2 linked regions of the Lepisosteus oculatus genome follow. The protein of the gene in region 1 interacts with the protein of each later gene in a biochemical or structural test. Links are inferred from orthologs where the notes say so. Each region holds a gene or a part of one and is shown in the gene's direction. Other genes may lie near its edges.

What was found. The genes of interacting proteins can lie anywhere in the genome.
Region 2: the proteins of sodium channel protein type 8 subunit alpha (region 1) and fgf14 form a complex in vitro, tested with the Homo sapiens proteins (2 studies listed by BioGRID). The link is inferred for Lepisosteus oculatus from reciprocal best matches to the Homo sapiens genes SCN8A and FGF14.

Annotation. Positions count from the first base shown.
Region 1 is NC_090696.1:20,135,036-20,142,762, reverse strand, and holds the start of sodium channel protein type 8 subunit alpha, read left to right. Parts: upstream 1-4,716; 5' UTR 4,717-5,019; intron 5,020-7,356; exon of another isoform or gene 7,357-7,727. Other genes in the region: transmembrane protease serine 12-like, read right to left, coding at 1,049-1,297, 1,752-1,894, 2,052-2,317, 3,157-3,352, 4,512-4,593. UniProt on the Homo sapiens protein: Pore-forming subunit of a voltage-gated sodium channel complex assuming opened or closed conformations in response to the voltage difference across membranes and through which sodium ions selectively pass along their electrochemical gradient.
Region 2 is NC_090710.1:5,033,142-5,040,922, forward strand, and holds the start of fgf14 (fibroblast growth factor 14), read left to right. Parts: upstream 1-4,764; 5' UTR 4,765-5,411; coding exon 5,412-5,619; intron 5,620-7,781. UniProt on the Homo sapiens protein: Probably involved in nervous system development and function.

The DNA of each region.
Region 1 (7,727 bases):
AGCGCAGCTGTTTTCTTCTGTACAGATCGCCCAGTTTATACGCAAGTGGGGGAAACTTTTATTTAATGTGCACCAGGAAAAATAATGTACAATTTTTTTTTAAAGCTCAAAGGGTTGGGAGTCTGGTTTAAGCTACTAAACTAGGGTGACCATATTTTAGTTTTCAAAAAAGGGATGGGGATGGGGGGGGGGGAGAGATAATCGACATTCGAAACATGCCTCCAAAGCAATGAATCTTTATTACTTTTCCCAATCAAAAAATCAATTTAAACTCTCTAGTTTTTTTATTAAACTTCTTAGTAAGCTTTTGAAGAAGTTGCAGGGTTGCTATTTCCCTTCCATAATGGCAAAGATAGCCCTATTTTAAATATATTTTTTTCATTTTAACACAACAAAAGTCTTAACATCTGAGGAAAAAAAGAAGACATCATAACAGGAGAGGTCCTCATTGGTTACAAAAACGATTAATTTTAACAAATCATTTTGAAATATAATTAAAGAAGTTACACATTATTATTTCTCATGGCCATAAAACAGGCGCACACACACAAAAACCCTTTTCATGCTACGCTGCTGACAAGTTCAAAACATCTACCAGTAAAGCATGGAACGAATGAAAATATGTAGCCTATGTTTTTTAACACAGTCTGAGTAACGAGCGAAACAAAATCCCGGACACATTTTTGGAATTTTATAAATCCCAGTCGGACCTATATTTTAGGTCTCAAAAAGAGGACGTCTGGCCACCCTAACAAAGCCATGTTGAAGATCTGAATGCCTCCGTATGGATGAAATTATTAGGTGGTTTCTCATTTGTAACCCGTCTCTTGGTGTGTGTTAATAACACAGAGAAGAGTGAGGGTACGTTTGGGGGCGACAGTGCGATGGCAGTACATTCTGTATACCGGGAGGTTGGAGGTTCGCCATCTAAGGTGGACGGTGAGACAAGTGTGGCAGTTTCGTTTTCACCCCAGAAAGAAGCAGACAAAGGCGGTGAATGCAAACAGGTTTAATTGCCGCGCCGGTCTGGCAGGACGGAGCAGGGAGCTCAGGCTCCCAGCAGGGGCAGGGCTGCGCTCAGCAGCAGGGGAACGGCCAGCAGGGGCAGGGAGAGCCGGCCGCGGGCGGAGGCGCCCCTGGCCTCCACCTCCCGGATCCAGCGGTAGTAGAGGCTGGCGCGGGTGTACACCCCGGGCTTCTTCTCCACCGCGCAGCCCTGGCCGAAGCTGGTGATCCCGAAGAGGTAGAAGCGCTGCAGGGTGCTGTTGAAGCACTGCAGGGGGCCCCCGCTGTCCGCCTGGCGGAACAGACACCCCGCGCCGAGGGAACACAGAAACCAGCCGCAATGTTAACACTTCAGTGTGGTGTGCAGCTGCTGACACAGAGGCTTCTATTAACTGGCAACACTCTCTCATCGCTGGTGGCTTTGTGCTGTGAGGGTGTGCGCACAAACCCACCGCTTCCAAAACCGAAACCTGTGAAGTGCGAGCTCACCTCAGGAAGAAGCTGTTCATGTGAGAGGATAGAGCAGGTCACCCATCGCCAAATTGCTCATCATACGAGTCCTCTGATTTTACACACTACTGGCTTGGGGGAAAAAATCCCCTGTGGCACACGGGTTAGAATCGCTGTCTTGCAGCGCAGGGGACCTGGGTTCAATTCCTGGAGTGCTATCTGCGTGGAGTTTGCATGTTCCCCCCATGTCCGTGTGGGTTTCCTCCCCCAGCACCCGCCACGTTGGGCTAACGTACCTGGCAGGCGTCGATGCCCCCGGTCTCGTGCCCAGCGCACTGCATGTTCTCGGTCAGGCTCTGATTGTACCAGTCCGGCTGGTTGCAGGTCTCTCTGGGGATGAGGTTGACCTCGGCCTCCTGCAGAGTGTCCGCTCTCTCCCCTGCAGAGTGTGAGGAGCAGCAAAGGTCACGTCAGGGATCCCCACAGCCGGCCTTAGTACGAGCCTCCTGGGTTTTCATTCTGGCTGAGGTTTTGATGACTTAATTAGCCTCCTCAGTCGGTGTATCGCGTGCGGCAGGACTGGGAGAGAGACTGACCTCCCCATGACGTGGTCCCCCAGCCGCTGATGAAGCACGGCGTCAGGCCCGCCTCCTCGCTCGCGCCCCTCAGCAGGCACACCGGCTGCACGTAGTCGGTGAAGTTGACAGGGGAGCACAGCTTGAGCAGGGCCACGTCGTTGTCGCCGTTTTTGGTGTTGAACAGGCTGTGGCGGAAGATGTGGGTCACAGTGCGGTTCTGTGTGTTTTCGTCGCTGGTTTTCCACACCTGCAGCCCAGCTATGACCCTCAGCTTCGATGGATCGCTGTGGGAGAGAGAGGGAGCCGAGAGCTTGCAAGAGTTATTCCACCTGGCCAGTCATCTAAGTGTCTGTTTAAACCTGGTGAGGTCGGGCCGCAGTGATACAAGCTTTAGTAGGTTTGTCTTGAAAACGCGGTCCGAGTCGAATTGTGCTAGGATTCACACGACGCTTCAATCCTGTGAATGATTTGATCTTACACACTACTGGTTCGGGGAAAGGGTGTTACTGTGACGGTACTGTGACACCCTTCACATTGGCTAGAATCGCTGCCTCCCAATGCAGGGGACCTGGTTCAATTCCTGGGGTGCTATCTGTAAAGAGTTTGCTTGTTCTCCCCATGCCCATGTGTGTTTCCTCCCAAAGACCCTGAACTTGGCTAAGTCTGGGTGTCTGTGTGTCCCGTGATGGACTGGAGTACTGTGACGTCTTTTTTTAGTCTTTTTCTCTATTCGAGATGTACAGCGCCCTTGGGTTTTTGAAAGACACTTTATAAATAAAAGTTATTATTATTATTATTATTATTATTATTATTATTATTATTATTATTATTATGCAATTAACCCATTGTTGGCCAGGATAGGCCCTGGTTCCCCCATGATCCTGACACTGGACGCATGGTCTTGGTAAAAAGTGTGTTCTTTGAATGGAGCACTCAAGAATTCCTTTGGGATGCATATCAGGCCCTTGCTTCCCTCCAGGTCCTGAGCTGCCCCTCTCTGCTCTCTGTCGGCCACAAGCCCAGGAGGAGTGGAAATTGTGGCTGATCCTACACCCCAGAACCTTTAGAGCCGTTCCAGGTGGGTCCCAGACCTCTAGCACTAATCCCTACGGGCTGTACTCACGTCTTGGGGCCGAAGCAGTGGGCTGACGTGACGACCCACTGCCTGTCAATGATCGATCCCCCGCAGAAGTGAGAGAAGCCGCTGGGCTCGGCGAGCTGGACGCTGACCTGCCACGGCCACGCCCCCGGCGCCGCGTCCTTCCCCCCCACCACGCGGGAGCTCTGCGGGGCCTCCACCAGGGGCCTCAGGCCACACACTTAGAGAGAGCACAAACGGCTGTGAGGTATGTACAGGTATGTGCACAAAGCAGGAATCCCTAATACGTACTGTATATTACTTTACCTATCTCAGGGATTGTATGATATATTAGTATAGCATTTCAATACATATTCATCCATATATTCAATTCCTGGGGTGCTGTCTGTGTGGAGTTTGCATGTTCTATCCATGTTCATGTGGGTTTCCTCTGGGTGCTCCAGTTTCCTCCCACAGTCCAAAGACATGCTGGCAAGTTAACTGGATTCTGGGAAACATTGTCCCTGGTGTTTGTCCTGTGATGGAGTGGCGTGCTGTCCAGGGTTTTGTGTTCAAATTGATTAGGATACAAACATCGGATGTAAACGGTTTTCAAATCTTTTCCTGTATAGTTTGAGTTTGAGTTCATCACTGAAAGAGTGATTTTTTGTTCAGCAGAGCTGTATTAGATAAAAACAAGATAACCCTAACAGAACTTTGGAAGAATAGCACTACGTACATTCAGTAACACTTTACTATGATTCATTCATAAGGAAAGGGGGAGATCTGATGAATATCTGATGAATATACACACTTCACGGGAAACTGTTGAATGACGTCATAGGTAATTACATTAGACAGGGTTTCAAACTCATTTCCTGGAAGCCCTAGTATCTTCTGGGTTGTGTTCCAGCCCAAGCTGTCAATGAAACAATTAACCAAATGAATGTGTTATATACGGAATTTTTTCACGAAGTTTTTTCCGTTGATAGCTCAATACACTTTATCACTGGAAACCCCGGAGATGCCTTTGATTGGCTCTTTGGAGAGTAGATCGCTTTGATTGGCTGAGCAGCAAAAGGCGGGCTTTCACGCCGTGGCCTCGAGCTCTAACACCGGTGTCTTTTCTTAACTCGGGATTCGAAAAACGCGCCGGTTTGATTTACCTCGACGGTGTTCAAAAACAAATACATTTATGAAACGTTTTTAGCACGAAGTTGATCCTTAAGCTCTAAGAGAAAAATCTCTATTTTTTTTTCAAAAAAGAATTAGTGGTAAAATCGGCAATTCATGTGCTTTGAGGTGGGTCAAGTCGCCTCGGAAGGTGGTAGATAACGGTCACCGGGTCCTGAAAAGGGGGTTCGGAAGAAGATCAACTGTCGCGGGGGGGGGAATCTTACTGATATTTTCCTGTGCCCGAGTCCCTGTCGCCAGCAGGCAAACACCAGTGAAGAGAAAGATGAAGAGCCGAGCAGAAGCCATGGTTTTCTGAGCCGACTATCAGGTGAGAGATGCGGTCTCCTCCGATACTGACCCGGGCTCGAAGAACTCAGACTGTTTAACCCCGGGGGTTATGACGCGAGGAGGCGTGTACCCGCGCGACTGGAGGAAAGTTTTGATTTAAAAGCTCTTTTTGGTAAGTAGGGGTCAGCTGAGCTGGGTCAGCTGTCTGTCTGACAGCTCAGTACAGCGCCAAGAGCGGGGCTTCCTCCCAGCTGCGCTTCGCCGTCTCCTTCCCTGTGGGTTTGTGCGCCTGCCGGGTTAGTAATAAAGCACACAGACATGGCAAGGAGCAGCTAGCCTGTAATCCTGACCGGACGTTTTAAGCAGGAGAGAAAGAAAATCGACGTTCCACGAAAAAAGATCAATATAACGTAGGAAAAAACGAATGTGACGTAACCACTCGATGTAAGTCGTACCGCCATCTTGCCTGGAGTGGGGTCAATATAGTAATTATACACTAATAATATAGTGATTTTATTTTTGTGTGCATAAATGAAGTCCCGTCTTTATTACAAAAAAATATTTTTTTGGAAAGATGACACTTCAGGTCAGGTATGATCACAGAAAAAAATACATTCAATTAAAGTTTGCACAAGCAAGTTAATCAGTTTAAAGGCATCATTTATAGCCCTGGTGTTTAAGAGCTGAGCTGGAATTAAAACTGGCAGATTCTTGGGGGTCCCCCAGAACCAGAAACCGTGTGTTAGAACAATGACACTAGTGTTGAGTGCCTTTGGCACCCATTCTTTCAAAGTTTGCAAGTCGCCTAAGCTACGTGTTTAAAAACCAGCCAAATGTGGCATTGCAAGGTGTTTATAGGACCTTATTCTAAAGCCTCTTTGCTCTAGATTTCTGAAATAATTCTCAGAATAATCCCCAGATCAACAGCCTCCTACTAACCCTGTGATATTGCTCACCAATCCCTTCACAACTAGTTCTAATTTAATCATCATCATCATCATTTATCTATTTATCTGCAACAGGTGCAACACAGGGTAAACCCTGGAAAGGACGCCATTCCATTACAGGGCACATAGACACAAGCACACACACTCACACCAGGGTCAGTTTTCGCAGAAGCCAAGTAACCTGCATGTCTTTGGACTGTGAGAGGAAACTGGAGCACCCAGAGGAAATCCACATGAACAAGGGGAGAAGATACAAACTCCACACAGACCACTGAGTGTTGCATTTCTGTATGATATCAAAATAAATTATATTATGAAGCAACAGTGAAGCGGCAGCAGTGAGGAGGGGTGGTTAGGCAGCAGTGTGGAGAGATGGTGAGGCAGCAGTGAGGAGGGGTGGTGAGGCAGCAGTGTGGAGGGGTGGTGAGGCAGTGTGGAGGGATGGTGAGGCAGCAGTGTGGAGGGGTGATGAGGCAGCAGTGTGGGGGGGTGGTGAGGCAGCAGTGTGGAGAGATGGTGAGGCAGCAGTGTGGAGGGATGGTGAGGCGGCAGTGTGGAGAGATGGTGAGGCAGCAGTGTGGAGAGATGGTGAGGCGGCAGTGTGGAGGGGTGGTGAGGCAGCAATGAGGAGGGGTGGTGAGGCGGCAGTGTGGAGGGGTGGTGAGGCAGTGTGGAGGGATGGTGAGACAGCAGTGTGGAGGGGTGGTGAGGCAGTGTGGAGGGGTGGTGAGACAGCAGTGTGGAGGGGTGGTGAGGCGGCAGTGTGGAGGGGTGGTGAGGCGGCAGTGTGGAGGGGTGGTGAGGCAGCAATGAGGAGGGGTGGTGAGGCGGCAGTGTGGAGGGGTGGTGAGGCAGTGTGGAGGGATGGTGAGACAGCAGTGTGGAGGGGTGGTGAGGCAGTGTGGAGGGGTGGTGAGACAGCAGTGTGGAGGGGTGGTGAGGCGGCAGTGTGGAGGGGTGGTGAGGCGGCAGTGTGGAGGGGTGGTGAGGCAGCAATGAGGAGGGGTGGTGAGGCGGCAGTGTGGAGGGGTGGTGAGGCAACAGTGTGGAGGGGTGGTGAGGCAGTGAGGAGGGTGGTGAGGCAACAGTGTGGAGGGGTCGTGAGGCAGTGTGGAAAAATTTATATCAAAATCAACTTTAAAAAAAATCAATTTAAAACTAAAGTCATGCAGTTTTTCCCCCTTTCCCTATGTCAGTGATGTCTGAAGATGGACTTTGCTGTCTATGGGTCCTATAATGCTGTCTGTTGCTCAAAGTAGCAGGATTTGCTGTGGCAGGTTAAGACCAATGCCTTGAACTGAGACAAAGCCTTTCAGTACTGTGGCTTCTTGGGCCCTGGGAGGTTCGGTTCTGATGTTGTCTGGAATTTGAACTTAGGACTCACACCTCCTTACCTCCTTACAGAGCCACCCTCCCCCAGTATTAATTTTTCTTGCTTTCTCTTTTCATTCATTCATAATTCATTTGCTAAGAGGTTTGCAAAGTAGCCTATGCGGGCTGAATGGGAGAGGATGTGCCTCCTCTGCAGAAAGGACAGCGTTTCGCTGGGAATTTAAATGCTGCTAAGCAGCAGTGACCCTTACCCTTTCCTTACCCAAGGTCTGCAGGCTTTTAGAGAAGCACTGATCTAAATATTGGACTCCTTTGTCTTAGATGAGTTAATTCAGTACAAAATCTTAACTACTATTTGTGCAGTTCAGTACATTTTATTATTCACAAGTGAATTAATAACTATATTTCAGCAAATGTTTAATTTTGAAACAATAGTTAAATAAACAGTATTTATTACATATAACAAAGGAATGGAGAAACGTTATTTGCAGATAATAATCAGGTAATAATTCTGCATGCCCACAGTTGTATTCAAGAGTTACAGTTTGCAGATGGCCCAGGCTTCTCAAAGCAGACGGGATACACACTGGTCCACTGCAGTGCCAGTTAAGCTAAACGGCATACGTTCAGATGGTGGTAGGAAACCGGAGCACCCAGACAGAACCCCCATGGCCATAGGGAAAACATGCACATGTAATGTGTGACAGATGCTGTGTACCAAACACAAGAGCACAGCACTGAGGCAGCAGTGCTAACTGCCACATCACACTGCTGCACACAGCTGTACTGTTATTCATTTAAATTGGGCTCAACTCATTGGATTCCTTCTCTAATTCATCTTTCACTTTCAAAGCCTCTATGTTTTTAATGCTG
Region 2 (7,781 bases), on another chromosome or scaffold:
CATTTTTCTTAATATAACTTACCTCCTAATAACTGCAGGGGTGCATTTTTTATTTCAGAGGCTGATAGCAATAGTACATCAAACTTCTTGGAAGAAAAGAGTTGTGTGATCTAGTCCTGATTGAATAATAAATATCGTTTGTTAATATCATTTATTAATGATCTGAATAGCGGGCAAGGAATTCTTACTGGGCTCTGTCATGACTTACATTTATCTTTTATTGGTATCTCTTAAAGGTGACACAATGATCTATTTAATGCCCTTAAAAATGTTCCGTTCCACTGAACGAATGATAAATGTCAAACCTTCAAAACAAACAGGGCACACATCAATATGCTGCCATATTCCCTAAACAGAAACCTACGGCAGGCAATGCATCCTGGAAAGAGCAAGAACAAGCAACAAGTAAACATTTGAACTAAAAAGTATGATAAACAATACTTGAGGATTAAAAATAATTACATATATACATTATTATTACTTACACCATTAAACAGTATTTTTCTCTTCAGCAGATCTCACCTGAATGAGGAAAGGTTGGATTTGTCTTCTTTTATATATTAGAAATATGAATTGATCTTTCATGTCACATCCAACAATATACAAACTGAAAACAAAAAAAAAAGCTTTCTAAACAGGGGAAATTCAACAAGTATCTGTAAAAACAGTTGGAAAATTTCAACGTAGACTATTTGATAAAAGTGCACATAGACAAACAATTAAGAGATTACCAATGGACAGACTGCTCTCTTCTTTTTCAGCTAACATGAGCAAAAATGTGCCACCTCCAAGTCAAACATATTTGAAAGACCGTAATTAAATAGATTTTTATTTATACCTTATTGATGCAGCAAGGAGGACAGCAAGATGATAGATTGTGAGTTTCTCTACCACTCAATTTATTTTACAAAAACATAACAGACATGCCAGATCAAGATTTCACTTTTTAAATGTTGCACAGATGATATTAGGTCAGTAGTTCGTTGTACATTTGTAACTAATAACTGTCCCCGATAAATAGAAAGAGTGAAATTTAAACTTTTTTTGTGTAAAAAATAATTTTTGTAAGAATAATTCCGTACCAGTGTGCTGTTTGCTCTGCCTCCCCAAATTTCATTTTTTTTAGCATCTGATTGTCACCTTCAAAAGCCTTCAAAAGCACTGATATTCTGTGTGCAGATTTGACCTAAAGGGGGAGGCCTAAGGTCAAATAATGTAACACAGCAAGAAATTTGGATAAAGCTCAGGTTAACTCAAAACTTGAATGAAACACCAATCCCAACATACAGATCTAGTATTTGATGGAAACTTTGCTGGAGGCTTAGTGCTTTTAACATATGGAAGCCTGTCTTCAGGGTGTAGATCTGTGATTTTAGATTGGTTCAAAGTTGTGATTTAATAAATCCAAGCCTATTGTGATAGATCATACCGTTAACCAGAGCAGTAATATTGGTCTGCATGCACAAAGCCTATATAATGGCTAGTGAGATCCATAAGGCTTTATTGCCTTTTCAGGATCACACAAAAAATAAATCTAAAAAAAAAAAACCAGCCACTAAGAACACCATTCATACAATTTAAAGTTAAAATAAAAACATAATTACAAACATTAGAATTTGCAGCAACAACTTTTCCGCTCCAATCTTATCAATTACCTAATTAACACCCACTGTGTAGCCATTTACAAGGAGTGTAAAGAGTTTCCTACTAGTGGCCTCTAGAGGCAGGTCTTTGTAATTGCAGCCACTTCTTAAGATGACATCCACAATGTTTTGGTAAATAGCTTTTCTTGGAAGTTCTAATGACTGAAGGAGCCTTAGTAACATAAAACAATGTACTGTATTTCTCACTTTTCTCACTCAGTTTAGTCTTGACTGATATGCATAGCCCGCTGACTGGTTTGCTGACACCCCTCGCGCAAATCTATTAATATTTCTATAATAAAATAATTATGCCATATTGCAGGCAGAGCTCACTTATCACTATACCTTTGTAGTAAAGGTTACTGTTCGGATATCTGTATGCTGGTTATCTTCTGTTATCAAGCAGATGCAGAAAATAAGCACCAGTAACGTAACAGGCTAGGTCCTGTCAAACATCATTTGCCATATCTTTAAATACAACTGGAAATTGAGTTTGGATGTTGGCAGGCAGGTATGATGAAAATGTCAAAGCGAAGGAGGTTATACTGTCAATGATTCTATTTCAAGATTTAACAAGATTTCTTTGATTTCATTACCCTGCCCCACCCCTTCATACAGGGAAAAAAAGGTCAGTTCCATTGTTGTTTTTGTCCCATATGTTCACAGATAATTTGAAAGGAGGGATATGGCCTATATTCCAGGAATTGAAGGATTCTGTACTTCATTCTAACCCCCTGGGCGAAGGAGTAATTACACAGCAGCAATTAAATAAGGTCCTTCTTGACTCGTGATGGAAAATGATAATGGGGCCTAGAACATCATCAACATCAACAGAGTAGCCATGAGCGACAGTGACTAAAGCAACAGTCTTAAGGGAGGTTGATGTGCAAAACACAGATGCACTCATTACCTTAAATCAGAGAGCAAGAGCGGGTGAATTTATTTTGACTTTTGTAGACTCACACCATAGAATCACACTTCTGTTTCCCCTGCTCCATCTTCAGCCCCATCTACTGCATTTTTGTCTGGAAATCTTGAATTTGACCCATTTTTCTCTAGAATTTGTTTCTTTCCACTAGCGTTACCTGTCCATACAGCCCTTCAGAAGCCATCAATTTGTCGTGGGTGTATCAAAAAAGGGTAAAAAGGTGACATCCCAGATTTTTTTACATGAAAACACATTTTCTGATGTTTTCTGTGTCAACATCAATATATTATCTACAACACAGCATTTACTTTTTTTTTCATCCAAGTGCTTCTTGGATGGGTTTTGATGCCTCAACTCTGGACAGGTGATTTCGTCAACTAACGGAAAAGTGCACTTCTCTTCCCTTGCTATTGACATGTCTGGATTAATCACCTTCCAGCCATATTGGGTCACCACTACAGCACATCTGTGTGTGTTTAAAAAAAACAACAACTGCAGATGTTGTGATTCTGATACCACAAAAGTGAACTAAATGGGTCATAAAAACATGGAACTCCCAGGCTGTCTCAGGACAAATTGTTTAAGGTCTCTTCTGCTTTTTAGAAGACTTGGTCATTAGCATTCATTTGTTATGGACCTTGTATAACACTGATCAAAATGTTTGATTTTTAGGCATGAAATGCCATGTGTTTAATTTCTGTAACTTCCAACACACAGTTTAGGCCATTTTTATCTTTCGGCTTTGGATTTTTTCTTTGAGTTTAGTTTATTTTTAGCAAGATACAGGGAAAAATAAGCATATGCATTTCATTTCTCTTTAGCTGCATACATAAAATTAGTTATAGATACATCTGACTAGAAATTTATGGATTTAATAAACCTTCTCAAACAAGTCATTTCACTTCACTACTGTATTTTCTGGATCTTATTAAATAAGAGCATGATTAAATAAATTAATTTAAGCCACATATTAAGAGTAACATAACTGGCAAATTAAAATCACAATAAAGGGAAATGTTTTGTTATAAGTCCTTGTATATTTTTCTGAAATTCACAAACAGTAAAAAATACGCACATACAGTATGTGAGTACATGATTTGCTTTTTCACTATTTTAAAAATAATTGTTTTTCACCAAACCACCAAATCTGAATTTTCTATGATTGAAGGACGTTTTTTGCCGCATACGTCTAAGACTCTTGACATCTATGTTAGTACTGTTTCTGTGCAAAATTTAGAAGCACTTAAAGATTTCCTCCAAAATCTAGTGTGTATACCCTAGATATAACACAGTACCTAAAAACGCAGAAAGACGTCAATTGTTGTTTTTTCCCAGTACGTTTCCGCCGCATTTATTTTAAGATATATTGAAAATTATTAAGAATAAATAAATAATGATCAAAATCAAAACCATTGTCTGCTGATTAAATGCCCAGTCTAGTTTCGGATCCCCATCCTATAATAACTTTAACTTAAGGCTGAAGTGCACTATTTTGGCAACATCTTCACAAAATATGTCCTGTGATATAAACTGCAGGGGAAATTCTTTCCTAATCTACGCACACCTGTTTACGTTAGTGAATCATGCCAGGTTCCCCGACTGGTATTTTTTTTTTTAAGATGTGGTTATTTTTTTAAGACAGTGTAAGAGTGACCGTCTGATTTAACAGTTTCAATACAACTTTCAACCCTAACCTAAACAGATGTGTTTTCATTTATAATCACACTGATTAGTTTATTACCTTCTTTAAACGCGGAACTGATATACACTTGTTGATCTGTAAATACGAGCCTACAGCATAACAAAATTACATTACGCTCATAAGACCCTATCATAACAGCTTAATTTTACCGGTTTTTATGCAGATTTGGCTTTGAATGCCTCAGTTGTATACTGTACAGTACGTCACCACGAGAAAAGATTATACATTTTATTATTTTGATGTTATGGGAGGATGTTGTCCATCTTCATAAATATAGCTGAATCGCGTCCTTTTTAAAATGATGGTTGTGATTAATTTTTATAACGTAAAAAAAAATCCCCACGCTGAACACTCTCACTCATTGATCAGATTTGTGAAACAATCTTTTGTGTTTCTCCCTTGAAATCCTGAAAACGTCTCATTTGTGACGGTGTTCAAACCACGTGTTTACGTAATGGAAAGCCAATCTTTCAATTCAACCCCTCCTCCTCCCCATCTATTTTCTAACACAGATCCAAGCTGAACAGAAATACTTGAAAATATTTTCCGGAACCACGATACTTTTAGGGGAAAGAAAGACATGCCCGCTGCGAATTGGTAACATCTTACCCTCAGAATATTGCAGTTTATTTTTTCACGGGGAAAAAAAATCCGGGTTCGGATCGAGAAATGCCTTTTTAAAGAATGCAGCGACAGATTAACGGGAATTGATCTCGGCAATCAGCAGGTTTAAAGGAGAACATAAAGTGAACTGACTTGATTTGGTTATGTGTTGTTTTGTTGGAGCTATCGTTGCGGTCTTTCTATAGGATACATCCTGCCTTTGCCTTTTGAAGCACATCCACCCTTCCTCAGAGTGATGAACTAATAGGCAATGGTTTTCTCTTTGGAAATCCTTCGTTTTTTACTGTTTGCCGATTAGTTCTGTTTGTTTACTGGCTGCTCTTTACATTTTGTGCGACATATGAAATATACAGAGTATTTTTTATTACTGACTTCCTGGTGTGTGCATTTTGGGGACCATTATTCACACATAGTCGGAAAAAAATAACCTTCGTTTAAGAAGTGTAAGAATATATATATATATTGCCACGTGAACAAAAGCAGCGGAAGACTGGAATATAAACATCTTTTTTCTATGGTAAAATTGGTAGCCCTGTCCTGGAGAACTGATCCCATTGTATTATTATGCAACCGCAAGGATCTCTTCTTTATCAGGGTGTCTAAGCTGCTGGATTGCTTTTCGCCCAAATCAATGTGGTTTCTTTGGAACATTTTCAGCAAAGGAACGCATATGCTGCAGTGTCTTTGTGGCAAGAGTCTTAAGAAAAACAAAAGCCAAAGTGGTAAGTCGTGGTGTTGCTGTTTGTTTTCTAGTGCCCGCACTGTGTTATACATTGTTTATAGTGATGGTGTTATATCTGCAATCATATTTGTACAGCAGGTAAATGCAGCGAAAAGGGGGAATAAGTTATACTGTAGTCCTGCTGGTGCTGGCGAGCCAAGCAAGGCTGAGCGTTAAGCACCAACAGAAAAGCCCTGCATCACTAAAGCAGGATGATCGTAGCGCTTCGAACTTTTTTTGATAGGTGCTCTGTCGTATCTTGGTAAATCACTTTAATGTAGACATTTGTAGGATACTGGTGTGCGCTGTGCAGTGTGTTTGTAATGCGGGTCTGGTTTGACAGGTTTTATTCTTCCTGTGCTGCAGCAGCATTTTCTTCTGCATCACTTTTCGGTTTTTAATATTCGGTGTCTCTTGTCAAGCTGACTGGAAAATTAAGCCCGCAAGATAGCTTTTTAAATGCACAACATTTGCGTGGAGGACGGAGATAATACGACGAGGCGCCTAGCTTTGAATTCATCATCCACTATTGTCCTCTTTTTCTGCATTTTCTTTTGGTTATTCTGTTGATACAGTACAGAGCATGACTGTCTTTGTGTTAGAAACGATAGAGGCTTTTCCTCATATACAGACAACCTGATTCCATAGTCCATATGATCTGCAGTTCATTTAAATAACTAGAAATGATGTTAGTTGCTTCATCCCCGCTGCTGAAGCGAGCGATTCGTTTTTAGAGCAACTGTACTGTACAGTATACTGTATGCAGTTCCAAGATGTGGAGAGATGGGATGCGTAAAATAGATTAATTTTCATTCAGATTTTGCTTTAAAAATAAAATTTTGTATGGGGCTGTATCATGTTTCTCTAGAAACAGGTTATCGCGAATGACGTGGTATCTGTTTATAAAGAAGCATTGGTTATTATAGCTGGTGCAAGACACGGGCAGAGTGTCTTAAAGTTGATGTGGTTGACAGTCATTGGGGTAAAAAAGCTCTGCTTCTTTGACGCTGGCACTGCAGTGTAGTAGATCATAGCTATTTTGCCTTGCTGACACCCCACGATTAACGAGGGAAACCGTTGCATTTGCCGCCCACTCAATAACTTAGATTTTGCAGTTGAAATAAAAGAGAAAGTACAAAAAGGTCGCATTCCTGAATTGAAAGAGAGATTGTTGAAGGAAAGCGGCGTCGGTTATCGAAGGATTTCAGTAGGACCTCCCCTCCAAAGAAATGTGCTGCAGCAAAACACCAACTTCCAGAATCGAAGTAGCACTCGGGGGACATTGTTGTCAATTGCATATATTTTTAACAGACATTGAAAGCTGAGGTAGCGGTGGCACGGTAACGCTCTGTACACTGTTACATATTATTAGGCGAAGTTCACACAAATGCAGTTGTATTCTCTTTTTTTAAATTATCCACTGCGGTTTTAGGTATTTGCGCTATGGATCCGGGTACCTTCATATGGTGAACATCCTGTTTACGGAGATCCATATGCAATACTGTTTATAACACATTTAAAAATATATATACTGTATATCACTATTAAGTGACACAATACAGTTGTAGTTACTGCCCAAAGATTTGTTTTGAAAACAAAGGATATTCAATGGTTAGGCGCTGTACTTTATTATCGGTATCAATAGAATCAACTGTTGCAAAAATGGGTGCAATTTAATGAAACGTTTCCTTTTTGACATCAGATCAAGTTCGATACCAACAAAGTTGTAAAAAACACGTAATTTTATTGTAGTCGGCTGTGTCAAACGTCTGGTACGGAGAAAATGTTAATTTGTTTTTTCTGATAAAACTTTTTTTGTAATCATGAACCTATAAAGCCTACAGTGCCTATTGAGGTTACCTGTTGTGTTTATTTAAAGACAATATAAACACGCGAGTGTAGTGGTGCACCGGCCTTTTTGTTGTACATGTGAAAATTATTTGTAGCAGGAATGAATTTGAACACTACATCGTGTGAAGGTGATGCGACCTTAACGTCATTTATATTAAATACATTTTAGCAAAACACATTTTGTTCATGTAACTTCTGGAAGAGTTTGGAAAGTACCAGTAAGCATTTTTTTTTATTTCTTTGGCTGGTTAGCCCAGCAGATGGCGGTTTCAGATAGTCAACAAAGGGCTAACACTTGCCTTTCAATTCAAT